3 linked regions of the Alligator mississippiensis genome follow. The protein of the gene in region 2 binds, or shares a complex with, the protein of the main gene of each other region. Links are inferred from orthologs where the notes say so. Each region holds a gene or a part of one and is shown on either strand. Other genes may lie near its edges.

Region 1 (10,465 bases), on a different chromosome or scaffold from region 2:
TCCTTCCTTCTCCACTTCAAGAAGGCCAAGTCTGTCTGTCTTTACCTCCTGTGTGTCTGCTTTGGGAGCTTCTGCTCCTGCTTCTGTATTCTCCTCAAGGGTCTTCCCCGAAAATTTCTTCAACCAGTCATCATCCGACCAGACTGCAATGGAGAAAAGAGGGGCTCAGAACTGTGGGGGCAAGAACCTGGGACAAAACCAAGCCACTAGGCCTCATGTTCACCTGTTACACTAGCAACCAGGTCTAAACTCACTGTGGGCTAGGCAGCTTTAAGGTATCTTGAGAGCGGGCGGTTTGACCCCCAACAGCATAGCTCTAAAGGCAAGGAGTGTGTGAGACAGAGAACTACCTGCCTGCGATAGAGCAACAGGATGGGATCATCACCAACAAGAAGGGCTGTCAAGACTTTCAGTCAAGTCAAGCCTCCTACAGCAGTTACCTGTCTACGTTATCTGGCAAGACATGCTTGCCTATTTCTTCCTCAAAAGGCTTCAAGCCGAGGGGACATTTTCCAAATACTTCAGGAGCTTAAGAGCCCAAATGCCATTTTCAAAAGTGATATGGGTGCTTAGAGGCTGGTTTCATTGAAAGAAAACCATTTGACCTCAGACACTTAGAGCTAGCCACCCAGCTGTGGGAAAAGGATGGTACCCAACAAGCCCTCTGTGCTCGTGATTTGTGTGTAAGCCTGTGTAGAGGATCCCTGTTTCCTTTAGCCTTCTGGTCTGTTTGGTTTGAACAGCAGAGGCCAACCTTTTTGACAGGCATGCCACAAATTAGCCCTGCATCCTCCCCATGTGTTTGCTCAGTTATCATGGCACCTCCAGAATCCACCCAACTCCCACCTCCCAATCCCTCCTGGGCAGAGTATTTTACATCCTCTTTTGCATTTCCCTTAAGGCAGATACCTCAGATCCACACAGCCTTGGCCCACATGTTGCACGCCAGTGATGGCAGCCAGCTGGGAAAGCATAACCGCAAGTGCTTCCTTCTTGGAGGAACTAACAGCCAGTTCTGCCCCTGAGCTCCCCATCAAATCCCCAGGCCAAGAAACAAGAGGCAGAGACAGGAGATAGAAGGCAGAGGCCTAAGCAAAGCAATGGGGAAAGCAGCCCAACAGCCAGCAGGGAATCCACGAGGACCTCCTGACTGAATCCGGAGACACTCCCCTCTCTCATCCACCAACTCACCAGGTCTGGAAGAGCCCTCCTTAATCCGCATTGGCTTGGCCAAATTGACACGAATCGTCCTGCCAAACAGCTCTGATTCGTTCTACAGAGAGAGAAGCAATCAACGGTGAGAAATCTCCCTTCCCTCAGAGCCTTGTAGACCTCAGGGGAAGACTAGGCTATGCATCTCCCCAATCCCCTTCCCATTGTCATCAATACCCCAGGCACTCTTAGCATCGGCCAGGACCCCAGGGAGCAGGGTTACACAAACACCACAGAGAGATGGTCCCTGCCCCAAACAGCTTATCACTGAAGCGCTAGAAGAGATAGCAGATGGACAAACTCAAGGAGATGAGTAGGCAATATGGTGATGTGACAGGCAGTGCCTTCAGCAAGCCGGAGGCCTATCTGTAGTCTGAGCCCTGCACAGGAGACATCTTCCTTGAGCACATTCTATAGCACTTCTCCAGTGCAGTGACCACCCCCACTTTTGCTGGCAATTCCCTTTTTCATCCAAGCACTGGCCATCAGCAATATAACTTGCTGGAATTCATTCTGGACTTGCCCGGGGGAGTTCAGAACTGAGGGAGCTATCAGAATACCATCCCTCCCACCTGAGAAAGGGGCAGGAAGTATCAAAGCCACGTTTCCCTTGCTCAGGCTAGAAGGGACGAGCTGCTGCCACAGGCGTTGGGGTTTGTTAGGTAAGGAACCAACAGGAATAGCCGGGCAGCACTGAGACAATGTACCTCGTCCCACCAGACTTGGAGGACTGCAGAAGCACAGGCCACATGGCCATCGGAATGGATGAGACTTTCCTAACAGTCAGGATCTGACAGGAAAAAAGCCCTTACCATGTTGTCAATAGCTGCTGCCGCATCCTAAGGCAAAAACAAGAAAGAATATTTTACTGCTAATTCAGCCCTGACGTCCCTCTAACCCTGTAGAAAAGGTACTTAGCACCTGGCCTGAAGTTTGGGTTTCATTTCACTCCACTGTCCACCTTTGGATCAATTTTTACCCACAGGTTTTCCTTTCTCCCCAGCACTAGCCCTGTAGCTTCCCGCTGCATCCGGCTAGGACCTTCTTAGTTATTTTTAGCCACAAGGTCTGGCAGCTGTGCAGCTTCCTCAATCCAGGTTTTTTTCCCGATCTGCATAAGATTCTGGTCATTTATCATGCTAATTTGGGGTCGGGGGCAGATCTTGGGAAGGGAGTATTGGACCAGGAGCAAAGGGCAGTTCATAGGGCCCATTAACCTAAAACATCGCTGTTAGCACAAGGGACTGAACTAGCCCTGGAGGAAAGCCAACAATGTGAACCATGGAGAAGCTTCTGAAGAAGCTGTACTCCAGTCCGAAGGTTGAAAAACTGCAGAAAAAAATAAAAAGAGAATCAAAGAGAAGTTGGGCTGGAAGGGACCTCCTGAGGTCATCTAGTCCAGTCCTCTGCTTGAAGCAGGATCAGCCCTATCCAAGCCATCCTATTCAAATCCATGGTCCAACCTCTTAGCAAAACTACAGTCAGCCCCAACACAACACCCAAGAGGTAACCCCCTAATCTGTGGAAGACCTCATAACAGTGGGACCAGAGAAGCAGAACAGAAATTCCACAGAGTATCATATAGAGCCAATAACACTAAAGAGTTAGTCATAAAGTGTAGAATCCTATTTCCACTTCAACCATAAAACTCCCATTGGATTCAACTGACACAGGATCAGGTAAAAAAAAAAAAAATAAAAAAAAATAAAGAAGAGATTTCAAACTGTGTTAAAATGTGCCCTTTTCTCACCTCAGCCAGCTCAAACTCAATGAAAGCAAATCCTCGGTGCTTCTCTGTGGAGAGACAATGAGCAGTTACCTTCACAGTATTACCAGGAAAACTTTGCCCCCATGAAAGTCAAAGCAGGAGAGGTCTGGTGCATTAGTTGGGCTACCAAGGGGAATCCACGTCTATGCTGCTGCCTCCATCTGAGAGTTTAGATTCTGTTTCAGAGACTTTCTTTCTTACCTGCTGGTACAAAGCTCCACTAACATCAAAGGACTCTATTATTTCTATCCTGCGGGAACATTAAACTACTCTTTATTATGATGTTAATGATGCTAAAATATCCAGCTAATTAATTCTCCAGTAATGAATTTTAACATTTATTTGTCCCACAGGGGGGGAAATACCACAAACAGGAAATCTTAAATGCAATCCTGAAATAAAGTCCCAGCACAGAGCAATCTGCAGCTATACAGAGCCTCATTGAAGTCAATTCTGTGCAGATGAAATTCAGTGCAGGGTCTAGGACCTGGCTTACAAATGATGCGAGGCATTGTTAAGCCCTGTGGGTTGCTAATTAGAAAATAAATGAATGCACACCATTTAAAAAAAACAAACATGAAAAACACACTTGGTTAATCTACTTGGGAAGCTGTAATCTAGTTGTAATTGTTCATGCAAACATTTCAGAAAGTCTTATAGGTTTGGCCCAGCAAAGGAGCTTTAGCAGTAACATCTGCTAGCAAATCTTTACTAAAAGGCAGGGAGTGGATGCAGGGGTGTGAGGGTGTTAAGCTCAGGGTGGGTTTTCATGATTCAGATACAGGCAACCCCCGCTTGGTGCTCTTAATTGATTCCTGAAAAACCGAGCGTTAAGCAAAACTGAAAGTTTTGGACGACCCAAGATAGCGACCGCAAGCGTTTTTAATGACTCCAGATGGCAACCGCAATTGCTGAGTGCCAAGTGAAACCAGATATCAATTTTAAATGAGCATTATAGCGATAGCGTCAAGCAGAAGTTGCCTGTACTGCTCTGAAACCTCTGAAATGGGTGGAGTTTGCTGGAAACCTCAAGCCTGTGAGGTTTCCCTCCTGCTCCCAAGCCTGCACGTGCATCCTGCAAATGCAGACCGTTTTAAGTGACAATAACGCCGATGCAGCAGAAAGATGCTGGGGTGCGATGTTTCAAAAGTGTTAGCGCCGGTATTACCATCGTACAGGGCTTCGTTTGTCCTTTTAGGAGTAATCAAACTCGCTCCCCAGGCTCGAGCTTCCAAGACTTCCTGGGACGCCGTGAACCCCAGAGCGAGCGCCTTGCGAAGGACATCCGACACTCCGCCGGGACACCGTAATATTACTCCTGAGGGAGACCCCGGCGCCCCGTGTGAAACGAGCCGGGCCGAAAGCCGGAGCCCACTCACCGGTTTCGTAGTCCAGCGGTATCTGGATGTCGGTGATGTCTCCGAAGGGGATGAAAGCCGCGTGGAGAACCTTCTCGTCCACCTCCTCGGCCAGGCCGCCTGCAAACCAGAGCGAGCACTTTAGCGGCGCGACGTGTATAATCACGAACGTTTCCCGGCGCCGAAGAGCAAGGGAGGCCGCCCCGCCAGCATCCCCTACCTGCTGCTTTCGTTCACGTCTCGTGGTGCCAAAGGCTGTTTTTAGGCTTGAATATGAATCCACTCCCCAGGGCCCACGAGACAGAGACAGAGACAGAGACAGAGACAGAGAGAGAGAGAGAGAGAGAGAGAGAGAGAGAGAGAGAGAGAGAGAGAGAGAGTGTGTGTGTGTGTGTGTGTGGGGGGGGGGGGGGGAGGCGCAGCCCCCTCACAACACGGATTTCCAAGCGCCTCTTTGAGGGCCCGTCGCAGGCACGAGTCCTGCTGCCTTCTGGCCTCGCACCGATGTTCACTCCAATATTCACAACTGATCCCACACGGCCCCCCACCCCGCCCCGGGGTCCCGCTCCTCACCCACGTACAGCACCCGCTTGGTGGCCGCCATCTTCGCTCCCAGCAGCCCCCGCGCGGCACCCCGGGACGTTGGGCGGCCCCGCCCCCGCGCAGCGCCGGGCGTCGGCCAAGGGCGCGTGCGCGCTTGCGTCACGCGGCAGGTGCGCCCCCCTCCCCGTGCGCATGCGTGCGTCTATACACACCCACGTGTAGGACAGGGGAGGTGTGCGCGACACGCGCGCACTCGCCCCTTCCGCGTCTGCACGTACGTTGTATAGCACCGGCTTTTGGGAGATTCGGCTCGTGTGTACACACACTACATATACACCATGCACACAATGAAGCTCACAAAAGCTTGTGCCAAACTATGTAAATATACAATATAGGTGTGTATCCACACCCACTGCAACAAGCTGTTGTGCTATATATATGGTACATAGATAACCAAAGGATGTGTGTGCACATGCACGTGTGGTGTATTTAATATATATGCATACACAGCTGAAGCTCACATTAGTTAGAAGTATAGACTCACCCAGTGTGTGCACACCTAGTATACATAATGACATCATCTATACATACATATGTAGCTGAGGTGTAGGTTGTAGCGGTGTTGGTCTAAGGACATAGGCAGACAAGGTTCCTTGGGTGAATTTGATATCTTTTATTAGACCAACCCAAATGGTTGGAGAATAGTTATTAAGCAAGCTTTTGGGTTCAAAAACCCTTCATCAGGCTAAAGCTTCAGCAGTTGGCATGTTCTTCCTGGATGGAATACGTAGCTGACACTCAAACGTTTGTGCTTGTGTGTGTGTCTATATACACATATACAGATGATGTCATTATGTATACTAGGTGTGCACACACTGGATGAGTCTATACTTCTATCATATAATGTGCATCTAGGAGGTAAGGATACACAACACACACCATAGTACAAACTTGTGAGCTTCAGCTGTGTGCGCTACCCCCTCCCCTTCCTTCAGTCTATAAAGTATAAATCTCATCTGCCCTGCCTTCTACCACTGTTATTATACCTAACTACCCATTGCTGAAAGGATAATACAATTCCCCCCCATCACCAGTTTTCTCTCACCTGTAGGTTAAAAATCTCTGACTCCAAAAATTATCCATATTTTTTTCATTGAGTTGATGTTTTGTGAGACCTGCGGCATAAACTACCTGGTACGGCTAACTAGGAGTTTGAGCAGCATCTAATGAATTGAACTTCAGCCCATGAAAGTTTGTGCTGCATATTGCATCTTATTTAGCTGGTCTGGAAGGGGCGTAGATCTACCCTGCTTTCTGCCTGCCTTCAGACCAATACAGCTAACTGCCTCTAACCAGGAGTCTGACAGTAGTTTCTCTGACGAGCTTCTGCGTAAGGCAGCTGCACAGCAGTTTGCTGAGGCATGGTTCGGATTAATCCCAAATTAAGCAAAGCAGCTAGGGCAAATTTATGAAGTGCAGTTGGAAAGAAAAAAAAATGCATTAGAAGTGGTCATCTCAAAGCAGCAGGTCCAAGGCACAAGCTGGATTTCTCAGGATATCTACCACTAGATTGCTCAGTTATCTAGGACACAGTATTGAAACTGAAACCTTCCTTCCTTGATTTTCAGCTTACCAACAGGAGACCCAAGGCACTGCCTTGCTGTGCTTCTGCTCCGCAAGCTTGTTCTATTCTTGGGCTTGGACACAGACCATTAAGTACCAGATTTCTAAACAGGTTTCTTGCATATTTTAACACCATGGTTTGCTCGTAACAGTGCAGCAGACAGGCAAAATGGCACATCAGTCTTGCATTTATACCCCCAAAATCAAAAGAACCATTTGCACTTTTCTAGCACCACTCATCCAATGGTCTCAAATGGTCTATAAACATGAATTAAACCGCTGCTCCCCTAAGCAGGCACCCTTATTTTACAGCGTTAACTGGTACGTGCTCAGCATTTCAATGGTTTTCCTTTAGTAAAATCTTCAAGTCATTGGACAGTCTCAATTCCTCCCTTCTGCCTTGATCTGGGCTGTGCTTGTGCTCTCCTGTATTCATGTTTATACCACACTCCATGCCAAAGGCTCACCCCAACGTCACAAAGCACACGCTAGTTCTACTGTCACTGAAAGGCAGCCATCTATCTCTAAGGTGCAGCATACACTTACCAGCGCAACACTACATTTGTGACTATTAAAAGGAAATGACAAGGTTCTAGGGACATATAGGGGTTGAAATACCACACAGAGATGAAGAAGAAATACAAAAGCTTAACATCAACAAAAACAAGAAGGAACTGTCAGATTGAAAGGAAGAGACGAAAAGAACACAAGACTTCTATGCACATTGACTTGGGTCAAGGGAGCACTGTTGATGGCCGATAAATACCTGTCTTCATGTATATTTCAGAGTATTGGGTGCATCTAACTGTTAAATTGGTTAGTTAAGTTGGATTTCTTAATAAAGTATTAAAAAGTGGCAGTATCCAATTAAAAGTGTATCTCAGTTCCTCCTACACAGTATGTAGTCATGCAGAATAAAAAACTACCAAAATCACTTCATCTTGTAGACTGCTGTGGGATTTTTAAATGAAAAGTGATCAATCAAACCCTGTTTCTGTGCTTAATCTGAAAAATGTTGCCCAAGACCACCTCAGAGGGCAGGGGTCCACTTAAATAAACTATCAGTTACAACCACCTTAGAGTTTCTTTGAAGATCCAAAACAGGGCCCAGTTTGAAGTCATAATTTAAAGTGGAGGTTTGGCCTAGCCACTTGTTAGCTTAAACAGAATAATAACAGGATTAAACATTTAAAACCACAATTCAATCAGACAGTAATTACCTAACAGTTTACTTCTGACCAGCAGAATAAATCCAGGATGGCTAAGCACACCGTGGGGAAGAGACCCATTTAGTGAAAGTTTTTATTCCTTTATTGATAAACACTTTCCAGATTTTGCAAACTGGATTGTTCAGTTAAAACCAAAACCACAAAAAACTTTCAATCAGAAATCCTTAATGTCCTGCTTAGAAAAGACAAAGGTTAACTCTGTCCTGGCCACAAAGGAAAAGCTTGCAAACTTAATCCTGGTCTTGGAAATCTAAAGCTTCATGGAATTGATTTTTTTTAAATAAGATTTTAAAGGTTAATTTACAAAATGCAATATGGTTATTTGGATATGGTGCATGGTGCGGAGATCTGCAGGACAGTTAAGAGTATCTTCAAACATCTTGAGCTGATGTCTATGAAGGGGCTATTTGGCTTCTTTGCATCCTGTGCGGGGAAAAAAGGTTAGAAAATTAGTTTGCTTTTTTTCCTGCCCCCATACAGGCATCTTGGTTTAGCGCAGACTGACAGTAATTTAAACATGACCAGCCCATTAAAAATTCCCAGATAACTTCTTATTCCTCTCACCGTGTAGGTTTCTATCTACAGTTGCTGATATTATCCACCTCTCCATAACATTATGCTGAAGGTGGAAATATGAAAACTTTGTGATGAGGGAATAATTATTGTTGCAATGTCAAATTATTGACAAGCAATGGCCAAGCTGCATACCGCACACTTTTACAACACGTATGCATGGTGTGTTTTCATTTTAAGCCAGTGCCTTCTAGAATGGAAGATTTCCCATAATCCTTTACTGCCAGTGCTCTGGCAGCAGTCCTGTAGAAAATGCCTTGAAATTCCTGGTAACTCCACACACATCCATATTAAAGAACTCATAAATGAAACAGTTGTAGAAAAGCATATGAACATCCAGTCCTAGTCTAAAGATACCCATCTAAAAAGGCATGGAAAAAAGAAAATCAGAGATTCTATAAGAATCACTCGGCAACTAGCAAAACCAAGAACCACACAGCAAGTCATGCCAAGCTTGCCAAGTCATGGTGTGCACTTCGGTGCTATTCTTGTCTACCTCAGGGTAACTGTCAGGACAAGACATGGACATTAGCAGCATACCTGGGTTTGGACAAAAATTGCTCGAGGCTGGTCTCATTTTGATGAATTCTATTCCCCGACACAGGTGAATGATTTAAAGGGCTTTATGAATTCCATGTCAGCATATTTTAATCTTCCAAACATGTCTGCTTGCTGTAAGGAACTACCTTCTTTTTTATGTGCTTATTTCTTCAAGATTAAAAGTGGAAGTTTCTATTTACAAGACGTAGTCTGGCATCCGATGCCATTATACCTAACCCCACTTCTTGGCAGTTTATATCCTCCCAAACTATATTCCAGTGAATCTAAGGTTAAGAAGTTCTAACTAACACACTCACCAGTCTTCCTGGTTTAAGAGGTAGCAGCAACCACGCCCACCTTCTGGGCAGCTTCTTTCTTGGCTTGGTGAGCCTGCAACACAGCAACAGCCTCCTCCACCTAGGGAAGACAAATTGCCAGGTAAGATCCATCATCTTTAACAAAATCACTCAATCCAAACTACCTTGAGAAGTGGGAGAATTTACCTTTGACCGGAGGGATTCTGGAGACTCCAGCATGTGCAGTAGCTCTGAATTGTCAATCTCTAGCAGCATTCCTGTGATCTTCCCCGCAAGGCTGGGGTGCATAGCTTGAATCAGGGGGAACAAGCGTTCTCCTAGGAAAGTAAAGTTCAAATGGTCTTTGCAGGGTGCTCTCACAGGTCCTTTGCAGCAAGTACAGCTAACAAGGGAAGCAGATAAGCACCTATCGAAGTTTTAAACTAGAGCAAACATTAGCTTTACATTTCCATGGCATCTAATTTCCATGCCCCACCCCTGATCTTTTTTTCACTACTAGTTTTTAGGGAACACTAGATGTTTTCAAGTCTAAGTCAGAATGCCCAACTACCATCATTTTTAAGCATCACTGTATCTACACCCAAACTACTGCGTGTAGGGGCTAGCAAAACACCCCTTATTTTCACAAAAAGGAGCCTCATGCATCCCAGTTGCTTGAGACTTTGTGCTTTAAAAAGCTCTGAAGTCAAATATGATAATGAGAAATGTGTTCAGCTCCCTCGCTGTGCAGAAGGCAGCAGGACTGACTTCCGAATCATCACTTACCCAGCATCTGTTTCTGCTCCTGGGGAGGGGCAGCAGCCAGCATGGAAGCCGTTAAAGGTTCCTGTCCCTGCACGTGTACTGCAGGCTGAGGTGCCTATAAGAGCCAAAAAAGCAGCATTAGCTTGGCTGCTTTGTGTTTAAAGGGCAGTGAGACAATACATTATGCCTCTTCCAGGACACACGTCAGCCCCTAGCAAAGCCTCTACAACTGGGAAGGCCTATGCAAGGAAATCATTTCAAGGAGAAATGTGATGGAGGCTCATAGCTCCCAGCCACACAGAACCCAAGCTGCAGAAAGCAATCATATAAAAACTCAGAGGCATGTTGTCTGAGAATATCCTAAGTACAGACAGCTTTAGTACTGTGCAAGGCAGCAGTCTGCTTAGTGGAGCCAGGTAACACTAAGGTAAGAGCAGTACTAGTTTGTGGCTTATGCCCTCCAGCAGGGCCGGCCCATCCTATCCTATAGAACCTGAGGCCACAGGGGGCCCCACAGAGCCAGGCGGAGAGGCCGTGACCCCTCTTGTGTTTGGTGGA
Region 2 (10,618 bases):
ACTCTTCAGCTCTGGGTGCAGGTTGGGGCTGAGTGGGGGGCAAGGTTAGTGCTGGGCTGGGAGCACGGATGCCTGGGTTCTCTCCCATCTCTGGGAAAGGCATGGAGTCTTGAGGTCGGGGAGTGTTAGAGCAAGGAGGTTAGAAGCCCAGATGCTTGGGTTCCCTCCTTGGCTGTGGGTGAGAAGTGAGGTCTGGAGCAGGGAGGGGCTGACAGCCTGGACACCTGGGTTCCGTGCTCAGCACTAGCCTCCCTTGCAGGGTTGGGAGCAGGGGGAGGGCTGTGCTGTGCTGTGCCCTAACAGTGCCTGGGACCTGCTGCCAGGGCCCTGGGCTCTGTGCAGGGGTTCACACAACCCCCCCTGCCCCCCCCAGTCGGCTTCCCCGGAGCAGGAGGGTTTCTTCGATCTGCTGAGCCACGTGCAGGGCGGCCGCATGGATGAGCAACGCTGCCACCTGCCCGGCACCCACGCCTCAGCTGGTCCCAGCCCTGAGACCCGTGAGTCCCGGGGGTGTGGGGTGGGAATGGGGGTGGGGAGAAGGAGCTTGGTAGGGCAAAAAATTAACTTGGGGGCTTGGGGGGCAGTGGGGGCCTACCCAGATGCATTCTGGGAGGCCTTAATAGTCAGGACCCCCTGTCTAATCTCTGACCCCCCCTGCAGGGGAGAGCCCGAGCCCCCCACCCGAGATGGACTCCTTCCTGGAACTGGTGGCCAGCAGCCAGGGCCGGCGCATGGACGACCAGCGCGTCAGCTTTGCCCACCTGCCTGGCTTCCAGCCCGCCGAGCGTGGGCCCCCCACCCCGCCCAAGGTGAGCATGGGCCATACGTGTGCCATGGTGGGGGTGCTGAGCAGGGCTGTGTTCCCTCCCCTCCGGCTTTGTGCCCCCTTGGAGTGGGAGGAGGGTGGGAGGGTCCTTTCTGCTCCCAAGGTGGGGAGAGAACCCAGTTGTTTGGCTCCCACCCCTGTGCCCACCCAGTAGGCCTTGCTGCCAAAGCAGTGTGGGGACCCAGGAGTCCTGGCTCCCAGCCCCCTTGAACCCCTGCCTCAACCTTCCAGAGATGGAACCCAGGTGTCCTGGCTCCAGGGTCACAGCCGCCCCCAGCCCTGCTTGGTACTGCCTGGGCTGTGACCAGTTGCCAGGGTCTCTGGTGCCCAGGGTACGCTGCTACTGAGCCCTTTGTGTGTCCTGGGTGCAGCTGGGACCTAGGGCAGTCACCCCTCGTGCCCCACCCCCCTAGGTAACTGGGCTTGACTGTGCCCTGGCATCAACATTGCATGCTGAGGTTAACCAGCTGGGAGCCCTCAAACCAGCTCACCCACCCCCTAACCAGGTAACCATCCCACTAACCAGTTGAGACCACAAACCAGCTCACTAGCTCCTTAACCAGCCAGGCACCCACTAACCAACTCTCTCTCTGTCTCCCTTGTGCCCATCTGGAGCTCCATTTATGTGTCCTGTCTGTTGGGGCTGGGCATGCGTGTGCTTGTCACTGGGGTGGGGGGGGGTGGAGGGGGGTGTTGCCCAGAGTCATGTTGTGTCCTCATGGGTTGCTCTGGGAGGCAGAAGCTAGGGCTGGGGGATAGAGCTTGAGCTGGGGACACATGCATGTATACATGCACATATATAGAGAGCACGGATCACCCAACAGGGGGCAGCAGCACACACATGCCCATGTGTACATCTGCATGCATGTAAAGACCTGACTGTAGTGCAGGTGTACACATGGGCATGCACCCCCCCATCCCAGCAGGGGGCAGACACGTGTGCGCGCACGCGCACACACACACACACACACACACACACACACACACACACACGAGTCCAGTGCAGCCCCAGTCCAACAGGGGCAGACATGCACATGTGCACACACATGCACACGTGTGTGTGCATGCATGTGCACGTGTGCCCTGGGGTGCGGGAAGGGGCCCCTGCTCCTGCCTCCTGCAGCCCTGTCCACGTGCCTCCATGTGTGCCCAGTGTGGGGAGGCCAGAGGGCAGTGCCCAGGCAGGGTCAGTGCCCAGTTTCCTCTGTCCGTCCCCCAGCTTCCCCCCCATGCACACTGCCATGGACATTTCTTCCTCTTTGCAGAAGTGAGTGTTGCTGCCATTGCCTGCGTGTACATCGCACCCAATAAAGACCTGCTCTGGCCCCGCTTCTGTGTCCATGTAGCGCCGGCGGGGGGGCAGGGGGGCTGGGACTGAGGGCAATGGAGGGGGTCACTTGGCTAGAAACAGCCTGGGGTAGCCGCACAGGTGCATCACACATGTGTACAGACATGTACACACCTGCAAGTGAGGCAGGAGAACAGGGGTATCACACACTTGTACACACTGGCACATAAGACAGGAACACAGGGGTGTTGTACACATGTACAAACAACTGCACATGGGGTAGGAGCACAAGGATGTTGCACATGCATGCAGTCAGCGTGTACACACCTACAGAGCATGTGAACACACTCACATACACACAGCATGTGAATATACACATACACATATGCTTGCACTAACCCAAGGCGCACACCACATGGATACGCCCTTACACAGTCACATGACAAGCACAGTGCCTACAGGCATGCTCTCTCTCACACACACACACGCACAACCATGACCTGCACATCACGTGCATGCACGCTCAGGCATTCACCCACACACTTGCTCACCCCCCTTCAGACTCTCAGCTTGGCTCAGAGTCCCTCCTCTCTGGCCAGTGGGGGTCTAACCCCTGCCCACCCCCAAGTGTACCCATGGGGATCTGTCCCATGTGGGGGGATGACTCCACCCCCCTCTAGGAGCTGGATGCGGAGCTTGGCCTGAGCCCCCCACCCCCAATAATCCCCTCAAGCCAGGGATGTTCTAATGCTGGGGCCTGGCCCCCAGAGATCCCTGGCCAGCTGATGGGGTGGGAGGGTCCCAGAGCAGGGTGCAGTTCTGGTGCGGTGGGGCAGGGCCATGTCAGCCTGTGGGTCGGGTAAGCTTATGGGGGATGCATACTTACATGGAGTCACACATCTGGACACAGGCACATGTATACACCAATGCACACATGCATGCCTGCACAAATGCATGCACACCCATATACTGATGTGGGCACATTTGCACATACATGCGCAAATGTGCATGCATATATAAACGTGCACAAATGTGCGTACAGACACATGTACACATGCAGAACAACAGCTGGGGAGTGGGGGGGGGGGGCTGGGGTGGCAGCAGTTATCCCTGCAATGTGCAGCCTCCAGTGCTAACAGTGCCTACCCTCTCCACTATCAGCCCTGGGTGCCCCAGGAAGCTCTGACCAGCAGTGCCAGGCCTTGGGGAGCACCTGCCCCCCCCTGCCCAAGAGCAGGGACTAGGGTGGGGTTGGTGCCCATATTGCTAACTGCCTGCCTGGGCCAGGGCCCAGGTTGGGGGAGCTGGGCCCCCCCCAACTGAACCCCCCACCAGGGGCTGCTGACATCTGGGCACCAAGTGTATGTCTGTGTGGTCCAGCTCACACTGATGCCTGTGTTTCTCCTGCAGGAGGGCGAGGCCCCCGCCCACCCCAACACCATGGCCCTCCTGGACCCTCCCATCACACCCTCCGAAGACTACTTCACCCTCATCCACCAGCACCAGTTGCAGACCACTGGTGCCTGGCTCCGCAGCCCCCCTCACCTGCCTTAGTTCTTCCCACCCTCCATCAACACTCCCCAGAAGCCCCCCCACTCACCTGTGTCCCCATAATACCCCCATCAACTCAATATGCCCCTCACCCACCCCCTTCCAACCTCAATACTTTTCCTACCTTCTAGCAGCTACCCCATGAGCTCCAGGCCCTGCCCCAGTATCCACCCACCTAAACCCTGAGGTCCCACAAGTGCCCTCCCTTCACCCCAGTGATCCCAACCCCAGACTCGCCCAGGCCTCTCGCTGCAGCACCTTGGGTCTGAACTAGGGGCCCTAACCCCTGGATGTGGGGGCAGATCCCCTTCCCCCAGCAGGGGCCCAAGGCCTGGCTGGGAGGTATTGAGGGTCTCTTCCCTGCACCCCAAGGCTGGAAGGTTGAGGGGGGTGGTCTCCCCTTCCCCTCTGCACATGCCAGCACTACAATAAACTAGTCTTTGATGAAAGCAGGTGTGTGTATGTGGTGCTGGTGGGTGCGGGCACGGTGGGAGTGGTGAGGGGACCGCCCAAGGACCAGCTTGGCAGAGGCAAGGGTAGGCAGGCTGCTCCGGCTCCTTCACAGTGTCTTGCTACAGCTCCAAGCCCCCCAGCCCCTCGGGGCTGGTACCAGTAGGGAGAGGGGCGGCAGCATTGTTAGGCTCAAGAGTGAACGTGTTAACTTCCAGCTTTATTTATGGAATGGCTGGAACACAGGGGCCACTCACAGGCAGTAGAGGGTTGTTACCCACTGGGGGCCCCAAGGGAATGGGGAGCCCTATCACACCTCTGCAGCCCTGTGCCCCACCGCAGCACCCATCCAAGGGGCTGAGCCCTGCAAGCCTCTTGGGGTGTGGGGAAAGGGTGTCCCTTGGGAGCCTCATTTCCGAGGCGCCTGCAGGAGCCGCCGCTCTTCTTGCTGGTTCCGGATCTGTTCCTTGAAGGCTTCCATCTGCTGGTGCTGGTGGGGAGGAGAGAGAGCATCAAAAGGGTAACTGGCCAGGGGGGAGGGAACACAACAGTTCCCATCTGATGGAGCAGCCACCCCCACCCCGCCGCCCCTCAACCCAAACTTCTGGGGCTGGGCATGCCCCCACCCCTGAAGCCAGTCTGGGGTTACAGAGCAGTAGGAGTAGGCTCACCTGGAGGGGGTCTTCTGGTGGGTAGATCTCTCTCTGCCAAGAAAGGGAGAAAGGATTTAGGTGCCTCTGAGCAAAGACTGGCCCGGCCGGGGTTGCACCAGCCTGTCCCCACACTGGGGTAGGGGCAGGGATAGGGGAACCCGCCCCCCGGAACTCAGGAGTCCTGCCCCCCTTGCCCACCTTGCGCTGGATGACATACTTCTCGAAGTACTCAGCCTGGTTAGAGATCCAGAACATGGCCACGGGGAAGGACAGGTACAGCGTCATCTGCAGGGGAGGTTAGCGTGGGGCAGGGGCAGCGTACCAGACCCCAGCTCAGCGAGGGGAGCCGGGGCAGCAGCCAACAGGCCCCGGGCTCCTGGGCTGTGCAGGAGCCCATGGGCATCTCTGGGCCATGGCCAGGCTGGGACGGGGCTGCCCCGGCGGGACACGGATCCGGTGGGCCGGGCGCACGGGGTCCCAGCTGGGCCAGGCCCGTCCGGGCCCCGCGGCCCCGACCCTGCCCCAGGGGAGGCCGAGGGCGGGCAGGGCCCAGCGCGGGGGGGGTGATACACCGCAGACCTCAGGGGACAGCGAAACCCCCGACCGCTGACCAAGGGGAAGCGGCCCCCGCCCGGACCCCCGGGCTCAGCCCAGGCAGCAGCATCGGCCCAGCCTTGGCGGCCCGGGCTTCACTGGTGTCTGAAAGGCCCGGGGGGAGGCAGGGACCCGGACGCCTGGGTCCTCCTGGCACGGGGAGGGCGGGGCGGAACCCAGTCGTCCCGGACCCCACCCCCAGCGCGGCCGCAGGACCGACCCGTAACACCTCCAGCTTCACCCCCATGGCCGCGGCTCCACGCCCGCCGCTTCCGCCCGTCCTCTCCCCGCCCCGCGGCGGCCGCTTCCACCCTCCCGCATCCCGCAACTCCATTGGTTTGCACCTCGGCGATGGCGGCACTCATTGGCTATGGCAGCAGCGAGGCGACGCCCCTGTCCCGCTGCCCAAAGGAAAGATGGCGGCCGGAAGCCCACGGCCAGCTCCTGGGGGGCGGGCTCTCGCCGCAAGCGGCCAACAGGCGGGCGAAGGGCGGTGACGTGAAGGAGGGTGACATAGACATCATCTCAGTGCGCTGCGGCCTGCTCGGGGCGAGGTGGCCTGCTCGGGGCGAGGCCGGAGCTTGGCGGGGTCGCGATGCCGGATATGGAGATGCCGGGAGCGGTGGGGCGGACCGACCTCGTCTTCGTGAGTGCGGGGTGGGGCCTGGGAGCCGGGGCGTCATTTCTGGGGCGGGGTGTTCCTCGTCCCGGGACACCCAGGGCCCCCTGAGCTGGGCCTCGCCCCCCCGGCTGCCTTTTGAACCCAGCCCTGCCCCAGTGACCTCCTGTGGCCCCAGTGTTGCCCTTTGACCCCGCCATCACCCCCCCCGCCCCTACTGCCCCCCAGCCTTGTCTGCGTCGCCCCATAACCCCTCCCCCATGTGTCCCCCTGTAACTCCCTGGACCTGCCCCCCAGTGCGCTGCCTGACGTGCCCCTGTCCCCGCAGTATTTTCTCCCTGGATCTCTGGCGCTTTCCCCCCCAACCCCTGCCCCACCCCTGCACTGTCTGGTCTACCCCCATGTGCTCCTCTCAGCCCCTCCCCCTGGCCCTACCCCCAGCGCTGTCTGCCCTGCTCCCATGTGTCCCCCCCAACTCCTCCAGCCCTGTCTGCTCTGCACCCTGCCCCACTCTCACTGCCTGGAGGTCGGGGGTGGGGGCACCGTGCTGACCCAAGCATGCGCTGGCGGCAGGAGGAGGAGGACCTTCAGTATGAGGAGGAGATTCTGCGGAACCCCTTCTCCGTCAAGTGCTGGATGCGCTACATCGAGTTCAAGCAGAGTGCACCGCGCCACGCACTCAACCTGCTCTACGAGCGGGCCCTCAAGGAGCTGCCTGGCAGGTGGGTGTTGGAGGAGGAGGGGCTGGAAGAGCTTGGGGCCGGGGGCCCTGGGCAGGTGGGTGCTGGGGGGACAGGGAGCACTCGGGGTAGGAGATCCTGGGTAGGTAGGTGCTGCAGGGGCATGGGGAGCTCAGAGCTGGGGGTCCTAGGCATGTGTGTATTCAAGATGTGTGTGTGAGTGTGGGGGCCACTCAGTCCAGGGGAAGTTCAGAGCAGCAGGGTCCCCAGGGGGTATTGGGGGGGAGGGGCAGGGACCCCACAGGGCTGGGGTCCTGGGGAGACAGGTGCAAAGGGAGGCAGGAAGAACTTGGCAGGGGGGCTCTGGGTAGGTAGGTGCCAGAAGGGGGCTGGCAGGGCATGGAGACCTCAGAGTTGGGAGTCCTCAATCAGGTGGCTATTTGGGGGGGGGGGGGGGGCATTTAGGGCCACCCCCAGTCTAGGGAGAGCTCAGAGCAGCAGGGTCCCCAGGTAGGTGGGGGGGGCAGGGAAAGCTTGGGGCGGGGGGCCCTGGGTAGGTGGGTGCCTGGAGAGCTGCAGGGACGTGTGGAATTCAGATTTGGGGGTCTGAGGGGGAGGCATTTAGGACCATCCCCTAGTCCAGGGGGAGGTCAGAGCAGCAGGGTATCCAGGTGGTAGGTGCGTGGGGTGTGCAGAAAAAGCTTTGGGGCAGGGGAAGCTTAGGTAGGTAGGTGACAGGGGGCACAGAGAGCTCAGAGAAGGGGCTCCCTAGGCAGGTGGGTATCTGGGAAGGGGCAGTTAGGGTCACCCCTGTCCAGGGGGAGCTCAGAGCAGCAGGGCCCTCAGGTGGGCAGATATTTGAGGGACAGAGCGTCCCCGGGCAGTGCAGTACCCTCCAGACCCAGCCAATGATCCCAGGGAGCAGTTGCCACCATCCACATTTCCACATGAGGTCTGGTCATCCCTGCATTGTGGGGCCAGCTCCAGTGGAGGGTGGGGACCGTTGTGTGGGGGGCTCATTGGACCAGGGCTCAGGTGCCAGGGACATCCCCCCCCCCCCCCCCCCCCCCCCCCCCCCCCATGGTGCTGACAGTCCCAGCCCCCCCATTGCAGCTACAAGCTGTGGTACAACTACCTGAAGCAACGGCGGAAGCAGGTGAAGAACCGGTGTGTGACCGACCCTGCGTATGAGGAGGTGAACAACTGTCATGAACGTGCCCTTGTCTTCATGCATAAGGTAGGGGGAAGTGCAGGCTGGGGGGGGCTGAGGAGCAGTGGGGCAGGCTAGGGGGCTGCATGGGGCTGGGGAGAATGCAGCAGGTTGAGGCTGCACAGGGACTGGGGGGGTGGGGAGAGTGGGGCAGCTGCGGGCACTGAAGGGGCTGGGGAGATACTGGGCAGGCTGCTGGGTCCCTCTGGGGCTGGGGAGGGTGGTTGCAGGGCAGGCCAGGGGAGGAACGGTGCAGGTTAGGGACCCCAGCCCTGCTTCTGGCCTCGTTCTGCCCCACTTGGGACAGGGGATGGCTTTCCCCTTGAGGGTTATGCCCCCTCCCATGCACCTGGCTCCAGGGAAGCATTGAGATCTGATCAAACTTGTTGCATAGGTGTCCATAGTACAGGCATCTTTATAGTGGTGGGGAGGGGGCAGTCTACTTTGTGGCTGTCACAGCAAGCCTTGGGGGATTGTCAGGGCTGGGGGGCACAGAGACGTGCCCCATGCCCCTCACATCAGTGCTATGAGGTGCGGGGCACTGCCCACAGATGCCACGCATCTGGCTGGACTACTGCCAGTTTCTGACGGAGCAGTGCCGTGTGACCCGCACGCGCCGCACCTTCGACCGGGCGCTACGGGCGTTGCCCATCACTCAGCACCACCGCATCTGGCCGCTCTACCTGGCCTTTGTGCGTCGGCACCCGCTACCTGAGACTGCCGTGCGTGTCTACCGCCGCTACCTCAAGGTGAGGCCTGGCCCCCTATTGCTCCCTTTGTTGGGGGATGTCGGCTGTGGGATGGAGGGTCCTTGTTGGGTGTGGGTTGGGTTTGGGGAATGGAGAGGGGCTGCTCTGTTGGGCCTAGGAAGTAATGGGGAGATCCTACTGCCCATGGGGAGATGGGAGCTGGGGCAGGTGTAGGTTCCCTATTAGCTGTGGGGTAGGTTTGGAGGCCCATGGGGGTGTTGGCAGGGGTGCTGTCAGCCATGGGGGTAGGAGCCAAGGGCCTGGTGGGTCCCTGTCAGCTCTGGGCTGGGTCAGGGGGGTCCAGGTTGGGGAGAGGGCCTCCCCTGTTGGGCCTGGAGGGGTGTTGGGGTGCCCCTGTCAACTGTGGGTTGGGAACCTGGGGGGTGGAGACGGAACTGGAAGGTCCTTATCAACTCTGAGAGAGGTTTGGAGGCCTTTGGGGGGTGTTGGGAGGACATGGCTGTGGAGGTGGGATATGTAGGGGTGATCCAGGGGGGTGGATTTGGGGGGCCTGGGGATGCATGACCAGATTGGACTGATCCATGTGCCCTCCTGCAGCTGAGCCCAGAGGGGGCAGAGGAGTACATCGAGTACCTGCGCTCCATCGACCGCCTGGATGAGGCTGCCCTGCGCCTGGCAGCCGTCGTCAATGATGACAAGTTCGTCTCTAAGGAGGGCAAGTCCAACTACCAGGTGGGGGTAGGAGCAGGGATCTTTGGGTGGGGTGGGGTCCTGGAGAATGGATGGGGTGGGGTGGGGCTCCTAAGGTTGGGGTGGGGCCTGGTGCACAGGGATCCTGGCATCTGGTCAGGGCCAAGGCGGATCCCTAGGGTGGGGCTCTGGGCAGGTTCAGGGCTGGGGTTTTATGGGACCATGGGGCGGGACAGATGCCTTGGGTCTGGACGGGGCTGCCCTATCCCCTCCTGCCCCTGAGCAGTGCAGGGGGTAGTGACAGCCTGTCCCCCTGACTGCCTCCCTACTCCGTTTTCACCCTGCCCCTTCCCCCCCACAGTTGTGGCACGAGCTGTGTGACCTGATCTCGCAGAACCCCGACAAGGTGAAGTCACTAAATGTGGGGGCCATCATTCGTGGGGGCCTCACACGCTTCACCGACCAGCTGGGCAAGCTGTGGTGTTCCCTGGCTGACTACTACATCCGCAGCGGCCACTTTGAGAAGGTATTGCTGGGAGCAGCTGTGTGCTTCACCATAGAGGTGGTCACAGCTCGGGGACAAGGAATGTCCCAGAAAGGGGTGGAGGCTCTGGGGTGAGGGCGCAGCCAAGGCACCTTCCAGCATAGTGTTATCCCCCATTTCACCCCAGAAGTGGTCGCATTTCAGTGCCATAGGGACAGGTGTTGCAGGAAGGGATGAGAGAGACGTTCAGTCCCAGAGGTGGTTGCATCTTGGGGACAAGGAGTGTCACAAAGGGGTGGGCCAAGGTACCTTACAGTGTAGCTTTATCCTATGTTCCATTCCAGAAGCAGTTGCCTCTCTGCACTATAGAGACCGGAAGTGTCACAGAAAGGAGAGGGGCCTAAAAGTGGGGATGGGGCTAAGGCATCCTGTGCTACAGTGTTATGGCAAGTTCCACCCCAGAGATGGTTACATGTTAGGGACAGGGAGTGTTACAGAAAGGGGAGGCTTGGAGTAGTTGGGGCAGGGCTCAGATATTTTGTACTGAAGCATTATAGGATATTTCACCCCAGAAGTGGTCACATCTCAGGGACAGATAGGGGTGGGGGGTGGTGCTGAGGCTTCTCCCACATTCCATCCCAGAAACAGCTGCATCTCAGTGCTACAAGGACAATCCTTGACACAGAAAGGGGAGGGGTGGTGGGGTGGGGGCCAAAGTACTTCCTATCCCTGTGTCCATAGCAGTGCTACAAGGACAGTCCCTGGCATGGAAAAGGAAAGGGTCTGGGCAGTAGGGCAGGGCCAGGGCAGCTTACCCCAACATGTTGCATTCCAGAAAGTGGTAGCGGGGTGGGGGCGGGCAA
Region 3 (10,163 bases), on a different chromosome or scaffold from region 2:
CCAATAAATCCAGGGGAGGAAACAGAAAAAAAAGAGATGTGGAGATGGATCCATGCAGGGTGGACTCACCGCAGCGTTAGGCTGCGCAGATGGCACAGTTTGGGGAACGATGAGGCCAGCCTGGGGTTTCAGAGTGGCCAAGGCTGCAAAGAGAGAAACACAGATTCAAGGGGTTGAAACAGAACTGTCTGGGGGCTCAGAGGAACAGAACAATAGTATCATCACAGCATTGCTTCCCCTGCATCATCTGTACCAGCATCTCACTGCTCCATAGTGCTAAACCCTTCCTTCTCCTCACTCCCACCAGCCTCCAAAGTCTAAATGCCCTTCACCCGCCCCGCCCCGCCCCCGCCCCCATTGCTCAGGCACAGAGCCCTCAGCAGGTCAGCCGACACCCCCCCCCCCCCCCGTGTTACCTTCTCTGGCAGCGGTGACCTCTTTGGTGAGACGGGCAATGACACGACAGGCAGCATCATGCTGGTACAGCGCATGTGACAGCTCCTGGCGGGTGGTTTGCAGCTGCTGGCGAAGCGTGAAGCTATGCAGCATAACAGCATCCTGCAGAAGGAACCACAGCATGAGGGGAATCAGAGCCAGCTCACCAAGTTCCTTTTGCCTACTCCGGACAGGGGATCCTGTGACCTCACTTCAGAGCAGCAGTGAGGGCTGCCTTCCCAACATAGTTTGTATGGCAAGAAGGAGTCAGGCACTTACCCACTCATCTTGGAGGGCCTTCAAAATGGCCGGGATGCTGGTAGCAGAGGGTGGCTTGGGTCGTATTGGGTGGGCAACTGTGAAGGAGAAACACAGGGGGACATTAATGCCAACAGACAGGATGAACCTGATTATCCATCTCTTCCTCTCCTTAAAGGCACCTCTTTCATCCACCTGCACCTCTGCTCCCATTCCATTAATCCAGATCCAGCCACACCCTCAACGTATTTGTCGTTTTGTGATTAGTGCAGTAGCAGGTGGACTGTGGATCTATACAGGGGATTTATTATGTTGTGTTGAAGCATCTGGGCTGGTGTCTCACTTGCTTATCAGGCTAGAAGTCCAGCACCAGACAGAGCAAAGTGACCAAATCACAGTACCAGCTCAGGGGCTCAAACGTTGTCCCCTTGGTTTGCCCCCCTCCCCCCCCCCCCCCTTTCTCCTTTGCCCTTGGTACCTTTGATGTCAATAAGCTGCTCTTCCGATAACGGCTGGTTGTTCACAGGGTCAGTGCCATTCTCAGCGATATACTTTTCAATCAGCCGGCGCTCATAGACATGATTTGACACTGGAGACACGCAGGGGTGCTCAGGCACCTCATTCGAAACTGCAAAGGGTCAGAGACAGACAAGACACGAGTGGCATTAAAGCAGGAAGGGTAATTCAGGCAGCATGAATCCCCTCCCACATCCTGGGGCAGTTCAGCAACATGGGAGCCCTGGGAGGATAAATAAAACAACCAGTCTCTCAGCCTCCCAGGATTGCACAAGAGATCAGTTAAGTTTTCCCATAGCCTCATAACACACAGAGCAACATACATCTTTTTGCATGTTGCTACTGTGATCCTTACTCAAGTTTATCTTCACTGACCTCTGCATCTCCATCCTGGGAAGTTTGAGTAGGTTAGACAAACATTTGCTTTCTAAACCTGTCTTCTGGTTTAGAAAAGTATGATGCTGCCTTGAGAAGCAGGCTGGAGTTGGGAACATCCTGTGGTCCTTTTCCACTTTATTTTTCTATAATCAAAACCTTCCCGCAACACCTGCAGTCTAGCAGTGCTCACAGCTCCAGTTGTTCTCAAACTTAATTGTATCACATACCTTATTTTAAGTTTCTTATAGTGCTGGGTATCATGATTCTATACTAGACAACACTGTATCACTCTCACCACATCGTTACCTCTCCAACACCCTAAGAGAAACTGCTGAGTTCATATTTTCATCTTTTTTCTCTATTTCCCCTTTCCTTCCTGACACTGTCCTGTTCCTTCCTCTCATATATCCCAGTTAGAGAAACACTGGCCTCTTCATTTTCTTTCAAACCACCAGCTTGGCTTTCTTTAGAGGGTGAGACAGTTAATGCTGAAGCTAATTCAAGTGAGCCTAAAATGCCACACATATTGATCTCTGCTGCTGTGTTGTCTGTACCATAGATCGCAACAGCAGTTTGCCTGTCCTACTAATATTACTAAGAGATGTGCCCAGGATAGTGGTAAATGGTTTACTTAATGTGGTACAAAAAAAAAAAAAGGACTTATCTTGTATTCAAGAAACCTTCAGTACAGTACTCAGGGTTAGAACAGGAAGAGCTATTGGGGAAGTTTTCTGAAATTTTGTCCAGCCTCAAGGACTGGTAGGAGCAGCTTTCCATGACGACCTGGTTTCAATTCTGAGTCCTGGGGCTAGCAAAGTACCTGGGATTCTACCTAGTCACAGGTCTGGCAAAGAAAACCCTGCGTTTCTGAGCCTGACCAGGAAGGCAGTATGGCCTAGCACTAACTAGCACTCCTTCAAAGAGCTGGTCATAATCCGAGCTCTTCTATAGGCCACTGCCAGGTGACCCTGTACAAGTCGTTCCTCTCTCGGTGCCTCAGACTCCGCCGCCAGTAAGAGAGGGATAACAGTACTGCCCTTCTGTGTAAAGCTATGCAAGATCCATTGACAGGTATCATATAAGAGCTGAGCATCTCTTTCTCCTACCCTTAGTGCATCTCTATGAGAGAGAAGGGGTCTGTCTGCTGAGCTTGGAGCTTCACTATGGAAAAATATGGGGGGGCAGGGGAGATGTGTGTAGGTACATACATGCATGTGTATACATACATATCTACATAATTAACAAGTAACCTCTTGGGCTCAGCAATGTACATCACTTTGCCCTCAATATCCTGCCAATGGAGCCCTTGGAGTCTGCACCCACCACAGGGGAACTGTGGTACCTTTATCAGCACTTACACACACTGTTCCTGCCCAACCAGGAAGGACTCCAAGTGCCTTGCCAAATGGCAGGTGTGTATGTCAACCCCCTCATCATTATTGATACTACTGACACACCTAGGGGCCCTAATCATAAACCACATCCCCAGTGGTAACACACTACACCAATGACTCATGGCAACCCAGGGTTGCACAGCACCCTAATTGAGAATCACTGCACAATACAAATGCACACGAGCCACTAGTTCAGAGGCTCGTCTGCATGCCCAGAGACATTCTCCTATCCCATCAGCAGGAAAAGTCACAGTAAGATGGAAAATGTATCAGATTCCTGTAGCCCCTGCTACATGTTACATATATTTACACAATTAACTGTTTAATCGCACAACCCATTTAGACCAGCCATAAAGTTCTTGAAAAGTTATAACAACTCTATAGCTGATTTCTTTCCAGCTTTAATTGGAATGTGTAGGAGGGCCCTAAGTAAGCTGTTTTTCTGGCACTTTCATACCTGAGCTAAGACAATGTTGATCACGTATTGCTTAAAAATTAACTTTTGATCTCAAGCTAATGCTGAAAAATGTTAGGCCAGGGGAGGGAACATCTGGGAAGGGTGTCTGAAGCTGAACAAAGAACTAGGGTGGAAACTGCCACACATCCCAAACTTCAACCCCGACTGTTTCCACATCAAAGGAGCGGTCAATGAGCTGAACCTTCACCCTAGGGCAAAATGACAGAATCACAGAAAGTGAGTGTTGGAAGGGACGTCAGGAGGTCATCTCGTCCAACCTCTGCTCAAAGCAGGACCATCCCCAACTAGATCATCCCAGCCAAGGCTTTCTCTAGCCAGGTCTTAAAAACCTACAAGGATGGGGCTTCCACCACATCTCTGGGTAACCTGTTCCAGTGCTTTACTACCTTCCTAGTGAGAAAGTTTTTCCTAATACCTAAGCTAAACTTCCCTTGCTGCAACTTGAGATCATTGCTCCTTGTTCTGTCATCTGTCACCACTGAGAACAGCCTAGCTCCATCCTCTTTCGAACCCTCCTTCAGGTAGTTAAAGGCTGCTATTAAATCCCCTCTTAGTCTCCTCTTCTCTAGATGAAATAAACCCAGTTCCCTCAGCTCCTCACAAGTCACATGCCCCAGCCCTGCCACGGGTTTTCACTGCCCTTCGCTGCACTCTCTCTGGCTGACCCCCAGGGGGCTGGGGGAGGAGTGGGGGGGACATTAAGGGCAGGATTTGGTTCAACCCTCTAGAAGTACACTACAGATTTGTATTTGAACTCTCTGGGTTGTCCCAGGGTTGGGCTGTGTCAGTGCGCCTGCTGGGACCAAGACCGGAGGCTCCTGGCCAGGGGGGCCATGGCCCCGCGCTCAGGATCAGACCATCCCCACATCTGGGCTCGGGAAGACCCGTTCCCCCGGCTCCGGCCTGACACGGGCTGCAGGGGCTTCGCCTCTCCCTGCTCGGGGCGCAGCCGCCCCCGGGACCTGCTGACAGCGGTGCCCAGAAGCAGGCCGCTGGCTGCGGGGCGGCCCCGCTCCCCACCCCGACCCGCCCCGCGGCCGCCCCCGGGGGGCTGCGCGCCGCAGCCTCCAGCGCGGGAAAGGTGGCAGCGCCTCCGGCCGGAGCGCTTAGGGAACGGGGCCGCGCTCGCTCCCCCGCGCCGCACCGCACTCACTCGAGCAGATCAGGGCCATGGCGGCTGCTGGTCCCGAGCCCGCCTCGCTCTGGCTCCGGTTTCTGCTTCCGGGTCACGGGGTTCTGCTTCTGGCGCGTGTGTGCCAGGCCCACGAGGGGGACGCGGGGACAGGGGGACGGTCCCTCTCGCTCTGGTCCTCCCACCAAGCCCCGCGGCAGGGCCGCGCCGACCACTTCCGTCTGCGAATGTGTTTGGGGGGCCCGCCCCGAGGCGGAGCGGGGAGCTGCCACTGGCGGCCAGCGACCTGTGGGACCAGTGTACCAGTTCCGCCTGCCAGGCCGCGAATCCCACCGAGCACAGCCTCCCTTCCCGGCATGCCCCGGGCGGCGGCGCGTTGCCGTGGCAACCGAGCGCCCGCGGCGCCTAAGAGACCCTCGTGGGACCTGTTGCTCCCGTCATGCCCCGCGCGCGAGGCGGCTTCCGACCCACAACCGTCATTCCCAGAATTCACTGGGCGAATTTCCCCCCTCACGTCACTGCCTCCCTGAAGGACTACAGCTCCCAGCGTGCACCGCATGGGTGAGGGGTGAGCTCCAACCGCTGAGAAAGCCACGCCCCCTCAGCCCAGCCCCGCCCCTACTCCCGCCCGCGCTGGGGTGAGCTCTCAAGGGGGGGCGTGTGCTTTCCCCCCCCGGTCCCCGCGTGGCTGGGCCGAGGCCCTGCTCCCGCCCCCAACCCCGTCCTTGGGCTTGCTGGGGTGTGGGGACAGCAGGCAGTGGCAGAGGGGGCCCGCATGGTGCCGCCCTCCCGCCCAGCACTGGCGCCCAAGCATCTCTCTCCACCCCGCCTCCCCCCAGTGTCGGCTTCTGGGACTGCGCCAGGGGCAGGCCTGAGCAGGGCGTGTGGGAGAGGGATTGTGTGTCACCCCCCCACCTGCTGCGGGGGGCCCAGCTGTCCTTTCCATCTCTGCAGGCCCCACACTGAGGTCACTGCCCAAAGTGGGAGTGAGGCAGACTTGACCTTTGGCCCCTGGCTCCTGGGATTCTTCTCAAACGAAGGGCCGGTGGCGTGGGTGCGGGTGCCTGCTCTTAGACCCAGGTTCAGTCAGCCTGAGCAGCCGGCTGCTGGGGAACAGCGCAAGGAGCTGCCTCCGGTCGCCAGTCGTTGGGAAACACAAAAGGTTGGGAGCGGAGACAGGCCCAAGCGCCAGTAATGAGAGAGTGGCCCGTGGAGGATCCTCAGTTGACAAGGGAGCATGCTGGTACTGCGGGGAGTGCATTTGCCCTCTTGGCAGTCCAGGGTGGCCCTCCCCATGGGCAGGATAGCTCTGACCCCAGGACAGGAGGATCCTGGGTTTCTACAGCTTTGTTACTGTCTGTGACTTTACTCATCTCTCCTCTCTCATTTCCTTCAGCAGGGCTTCTTGGTGTAGAGAGAAGAGCTGGAGAGATGGCGGGAAGGGATTGCAGGTCCTGGAGCTGCCGCCAGCTTCTGCTCCGACCAGCTGTTGCTCTCCTGATGTCAGCCGCTTTCCTTCATGTGGCCAGCGCTCAGAACCGGTCTGGCAAGCTTTGGAAAGAAGCACCCGTCCACACTGACTTCTTGTCCCATTTGGGTCAGGCCATGAAGGAGACCCTGGAGGAGATGATTGGGCAGGAGGCTGTTCAGATGGTGGCTGAGGTAAGGCTGGAATTCCAAAGGGGCTGGAAGAGGGTGGAGGTGAAGGTCTCTGTGCACAAAGTTTGCCCCCCTCTGCCGGTGTTAGAGAAATAGCTATTAAGCTTTGCCAAAGTTGTTCAAAGAGCTCCAGTGAGAGAGTCCAGTTTGAGCTTTGGACTGTGACTCTGGAGACATGGTTTCCAGTTTTGTCATTGGCCTGCTGAGTGACCTTGGGCAGGTCAGTTTGCCTTCCCCTGCCTCAGTTTCCCCATCTGTAAGATGGGGATAATGCCAACTTCCCTTGTGGAGCATGTTGAGGCTATGGCTTAAAAGCACCAGATAAAAGCTGGGTGCTACATATATCAAGGTTAACATTGAGCAAAGTTATTGATCTGAAATTTCTTATGCAGCTTGTGCTGGCCAGTCCTTGCTTCCCTAAGCCTCCTGCTACCGAGGGAGGTTTGAGTCACTTTAGCTCCAGGTATCTGCTCTGAAAAAAGGCAGCATGTGCCCAAGTGACTGAGATGTGGCGCTGTTGTTAGACCTCTGGGTTCCAGTTGTAGTTCTGTCTGTAATGAGCTCCTGCAGCTTCTTAGCTAGCTTATCTCCTGGGCAAGTAACAGTTACACACCCACCCCCACCCTCCAGCAGGGGCATAAGGCTTCATTTAATAGGGGCCGTGAAGGGCACAAGTCAGGAGTAGAGAGGCTAGGTAGTCTGGTGGGTTAGGCACCGAGCCTGAGATTTGGGAGACCCAGGGTAAAGCCTTTATCTGCTGCCAGCTTCCTGCTTGACTTCTGGCAGGTCATTTAGTTCTCAAAGGAGTCTGGTTTGAAACTGCCTCCATTTTCCCTAGGTAAAACTAAGAATAATAGACATTCAGATATTGTTGTGACAGGCTAGAAGATAGAAGCATCAGCTGCTTATTTCAGGCAGAGCTCCTTGACGATGGAGCCAGCTGGATGGCTGAACAGTACTCTGGCCCCATGGGAACAAGCTTTCAGCACAGATTTACCTCTTCAGGAAGCTACCCACTTCTCAGGCTGTGGACAGATTTAACTGTCAACCGTTTTAAAAGGGGAGGAGTTGTTCCGCTCTGCAGCTTATGTCAGCTGTGACAGCATAACTGTTGTGTCTGCATGATTCTGTAGGGAACTAAATTGTTGTAACTTGAATCCTGTGGGATGCAGGGATAGGGTTACAATGGCTTTGCTACAGTGGTCTCCCTGCTGGAGCATGCATATGTGACAACTTATATTGGTTTCATTGATAGATACACCATGGTTTGGTCTGCATACACTGTGTTGAAAGAAGCACCAACCAGCTGGCTCTGAAGCTGGCAGTATTGGTTTCTGGTTGGGGTGTTTCTGCCATCTGTTAGGTGGACTGGTTACACAGCTTATCCATCTGAGCTGAATTGCAGCTGAGCTGGGCACCAAATCCAAAAGGTAGGGATGGGGAGACTTGAGGCCACTATTGTACTTTTCCTAGTACAAAGCCATCTCAGCCCCTGTGGGGGGGGAGTTAAAGCATCTTTGGGGTTGCTGTAAGTTATGTCTAGTGGGTTCCTGCTGCACCTACAACCAGCGAGGGCTATTTGCACCCAGCCAGGCATTGGTTCCTATCAGAGCTCTCTCATGGCCCCTGAAACCTCATACGCAAGTGGTCTTGTCTCCCTTCTCCCCACTGGTGTCTTTGAACACATGGCAGGGACTGAAATTTCTCTCTTCCCTGCAGACCATCTCTGCCATGTTCTGGATTGTCTCCAATGGCATCTCTGCAGGGCTGATCATCCTATCTGAGATCATGGGACAGATCCTTAGTGCTTTTGGCATGAATGGTAAGTTGCTTTCTATCTGTGTGATGATATTAATGCCTAGAGACCCCACCTGAGGGCAGGGCGCCATTGTGCTGGGTACTGCATAAAAGCCCAGGCAAAGGGAGGGAGGGGAAATTGAAGCATCAGCTTGCTCACAGCAGAGGCAGAATTAAGAGCAGGAAGCAAATCTCTGGTTTTCTGGTTAAGTGCCCACTCCCCTGAAGCCCCCTTCCACAGCCCCATCTGTGGAAGGTTGGGAAGGCTGTTCCGCATCCCTGTCTCTGGGGCAGAGATGTGTTTCTCTGAAAACCAGTCTTTCACTGGAGTATGTGAGGGCCTCAGTCCCATCCCTCACAACAGACAAGGGTGTCTGAGCTTCCCCTTTCAAGGCCTGTGGCATAGGAGGGGTCAACTCAGGCTTGACAGCCCATATCATCTGGGGAGAGCAATTTTACTTTCCTTCCAGTACTTAATGGGCTAACCCTGATCCTTATCCCTAAATAAAGAAAAGGGGCTCCCATCTGGTAAGGAGCAATTCTCTCCAAGGGTTTCTCTTCCCAGCACTGGAGAGAGCTCTCTTGCCACCCGCACCACTCCCCTTTCGACTCCCATTATGCCGCTCTCTTCAGGAGCAGCCTGCCCCAACATCACTTGGGCAACAAATAGGGCAGTCATCCAGCTTCTGGGTAGCCAGGGACCACATGCAGCACAGGCCCCGGACCCTGGTGCTGGAGGAGCTACCTGCCACACAGCTGAACTGACTTCCCTCCCCTTCCCCCCATCACATGTGCAAACCCCTCTCCCAGCCACACATGATGTGGGGGTAGCACACAGTGTGGGCAGCCTGGCTTCTTTTTTTTCCCCAAGCACACAGCCTGGCCCTTGCTGTGCTGCACAGCCCCCAAGAGCAGGTGTGGGAGGGAGGGTTGGGGGGCAGGAACCAGAAGTCGGAGGAGGGATGGAGAGTCTATAGATCCCCGCCATTGTTGCCAGAGCAGGGACTGGAGTAGCGGCCAGGCAGGAGCGTGTGGGCCACATGCTAAACCAGGGGTGGGCAAAATGCAGCCCACGGGCTGGATGTGGCCTGCCAGGCTATTGTATCCGGCCTGCGGGGCCCCTAAAAAATATAGAAAATTCATGTTTATCTGCCCCTGGCTGCCTGCCATGCAGCCCTCGATGGCTTGTCAAAACTCAGTAAGCGTTCCTCTGCCCGAAATAATTAATTGCCCCTGTGCTAAACCCTTGTAGGCCACCATTTGGACAGCCCTGATGTGGGGATGCCCTATCCCAGAAGTGCCAGCCCGGTGCTGGGACACCCACGCACCTCTAACCCCTTTCCTTCTCCCTCCAGGGGACCATGTGATGCAGACCTTGAAGCTAGACCCTGTCCATGTGCAGACTCTGCTGCTGTGGGGCCTGGCTGCGCTGTTTGGCTATTGGCTACTGTCGCTGGTGCTGGGCCTGGTGCTGAACATCCTGGGCCACATCATGACAGGGGTGAAGGTGGCCTTCTTCCTGGTCTGCTTCATCTTCATCATTTCCTCTGTGCCCAACCCCTCCTTGCAGGCCCTGCTGCTGCTGGCCCTGCTCACCGTCTATGCCCTGCTGGGGCGCCTGACTAGGACGCAGCATTCTGGGACACAGTTAGAAGCCAAGGTGCACAGCCTGGAGCAGCAGGTGGATGAACTGCGGCACCGCCAGAGGCAGGTGTCCCCCAGGGACCTGGAGCAGGAGGATTGAGGGGCTGGGAGGGACAGCCTTTTCCCATCATGCTATACCAAAAACTGACTCAAGTAGCACCACTGCCTTCATGCTGCCCCTGCTCCTCCCCTCCCCTTTGTACACACTGCCAACCCCAGCCACCCCATAGACTTCCAGAGTCTCTCCCTTGTGTGTAGGCTCCCAGGCCCCACCTGCCCAATGCATTCATTCTCCCGAGCCCCTTCTCTGTGTACACCCATTTCACCCCACCCATTCCCTCCTAGAATCTCTCAAGCCTTTCTCCTCATTGCCCCTGGCACTTGCAGCTGCCTCCCTCCTCTAAGGAAGACCAGAGCCCAGTGGAAACTCACTAGAAGGGAAATGAGCCCCTGGGAGAGGATATAGCTCCCT

The links. Proteins that work in one complex are often made in the same cells at the same time.
Region 1: XAB2 (region 2) and PPIE share a complex: the UniProt entries of both Homo sapiens proteins name them as parts of the XAB2 complex. The link is inferred for Alligator mississippiensis from reciprocal best matches to the Homo sapiens genes XAB2 and PPIE.
Region 3: XAB2 (region 2) and PRPF19 share a complex: the UniProt entries of both Homo sapiens proteins name them as parts of the XAB2 complex. The link is inferred for Alligator mississippiensis from reciprocal best matches to the Homo sapiens genes XAB2 and PRPF19.

What each region holds. Positions count from the first base shown.
Region 1 is NC_081829.1:4,836,799-4,847,263, reverse strand, and holds the start of PPIE (peptidyl-prolyl cis-trans isomerase E), read right to left. Parts: upstream 5,005-10,465; 5' UTR 4,943-5,004; coding exon 4,912-4,942; intron 4,753-4,911; exon of another isoform or gene 4,559-4,752; intron 4,478-4,558; exon of another isoform or gene 4,459-4,477; coding exon 4,360-4,458; intron 3,007-4,359; coding exon 2,963-3,006; intron 2,052-2,962; coding exon 2,025-2,051; intron 1,274-2,024; coding exon 1,192-1,273; intron 144-1,191; coding exon 46-143; intron 1-45. Other genes in the region: PABPC4 (polyadenylate-binding protein 4), read right to left, coding at 9,177-9,263, 9,350-9,480, 9,929-10,022. UniProt on the Homo sapiens protein: Involved in pre-mRNA splicing as component of the spliceosome. Combines RNA-binding and PPIase activities.
Region 2 is NC_081831.1:24,939,530-24,950,147, forward strand, and holds the start of XAB2 (pre-mRNA-splicing factor SYF1), read left to right. Parts: upstream 1-5,831; 5' UTR 5,832-5,957; coding exon 5,958-6,008; intron 6,009-6,554; coding exon 6,555-6,703; intron 6,704-7,774; coding exon 7,775-7,898; intron 7,899-8,422; coding exon 8,423-8,620; intron 8,621-9,178; coding exon 9,179-9,313; intron 9,314-9,632; coding exon 9,633-9,797; intron 9,798-10,618. Other genes in the region: PCP2 (Purkinje cell protein 2 homolog), read left to right, coding at 374-497, 661-809, 3,525-3,668; protein PET100 homolog, mitochondrial, read right to left, coding at 4,525-4,605, 4,787-4,819, 4,967-5,053, 5,583-5,609. UniProt on the Homo sapiens protein: Involved in pre-mRNA splicing as component of the spliceosome. Involved in transcription-coupled repair (TCR), transcription and pre-mRNA splicing.
Region 3 is NC_081825.1:177,219,400-177,229,562, forward strand, and holds the start of PRPF19 (pre-mRNA-processing factor 19), read right to left. Parts: upstream 5,005-10,163; 5' UTR 4,632-5,004; coding exon 4,613-4,631; intron 1,322-4,612; coding exon 1,172-1,321; intron 792-1,171; coding exon 715-791; intron 559-714; coding exon 417-558; intron 144-416; coding exon 70-143; intron 1-69. Other genes in the region: TMEM109 (transmembrane protein 109), read left to right, coding at 5,786-5,834, 5,988-6,253, 7,970-8,072, 9,403-9,791. UniProt on the Homo sapiens protein: Ubiquitin-protein ligase which is a core component of several complexes mainly involved pre-mRNA splicing and DNA repair. Required for pre-mRNA splicing as component of the spliceosome.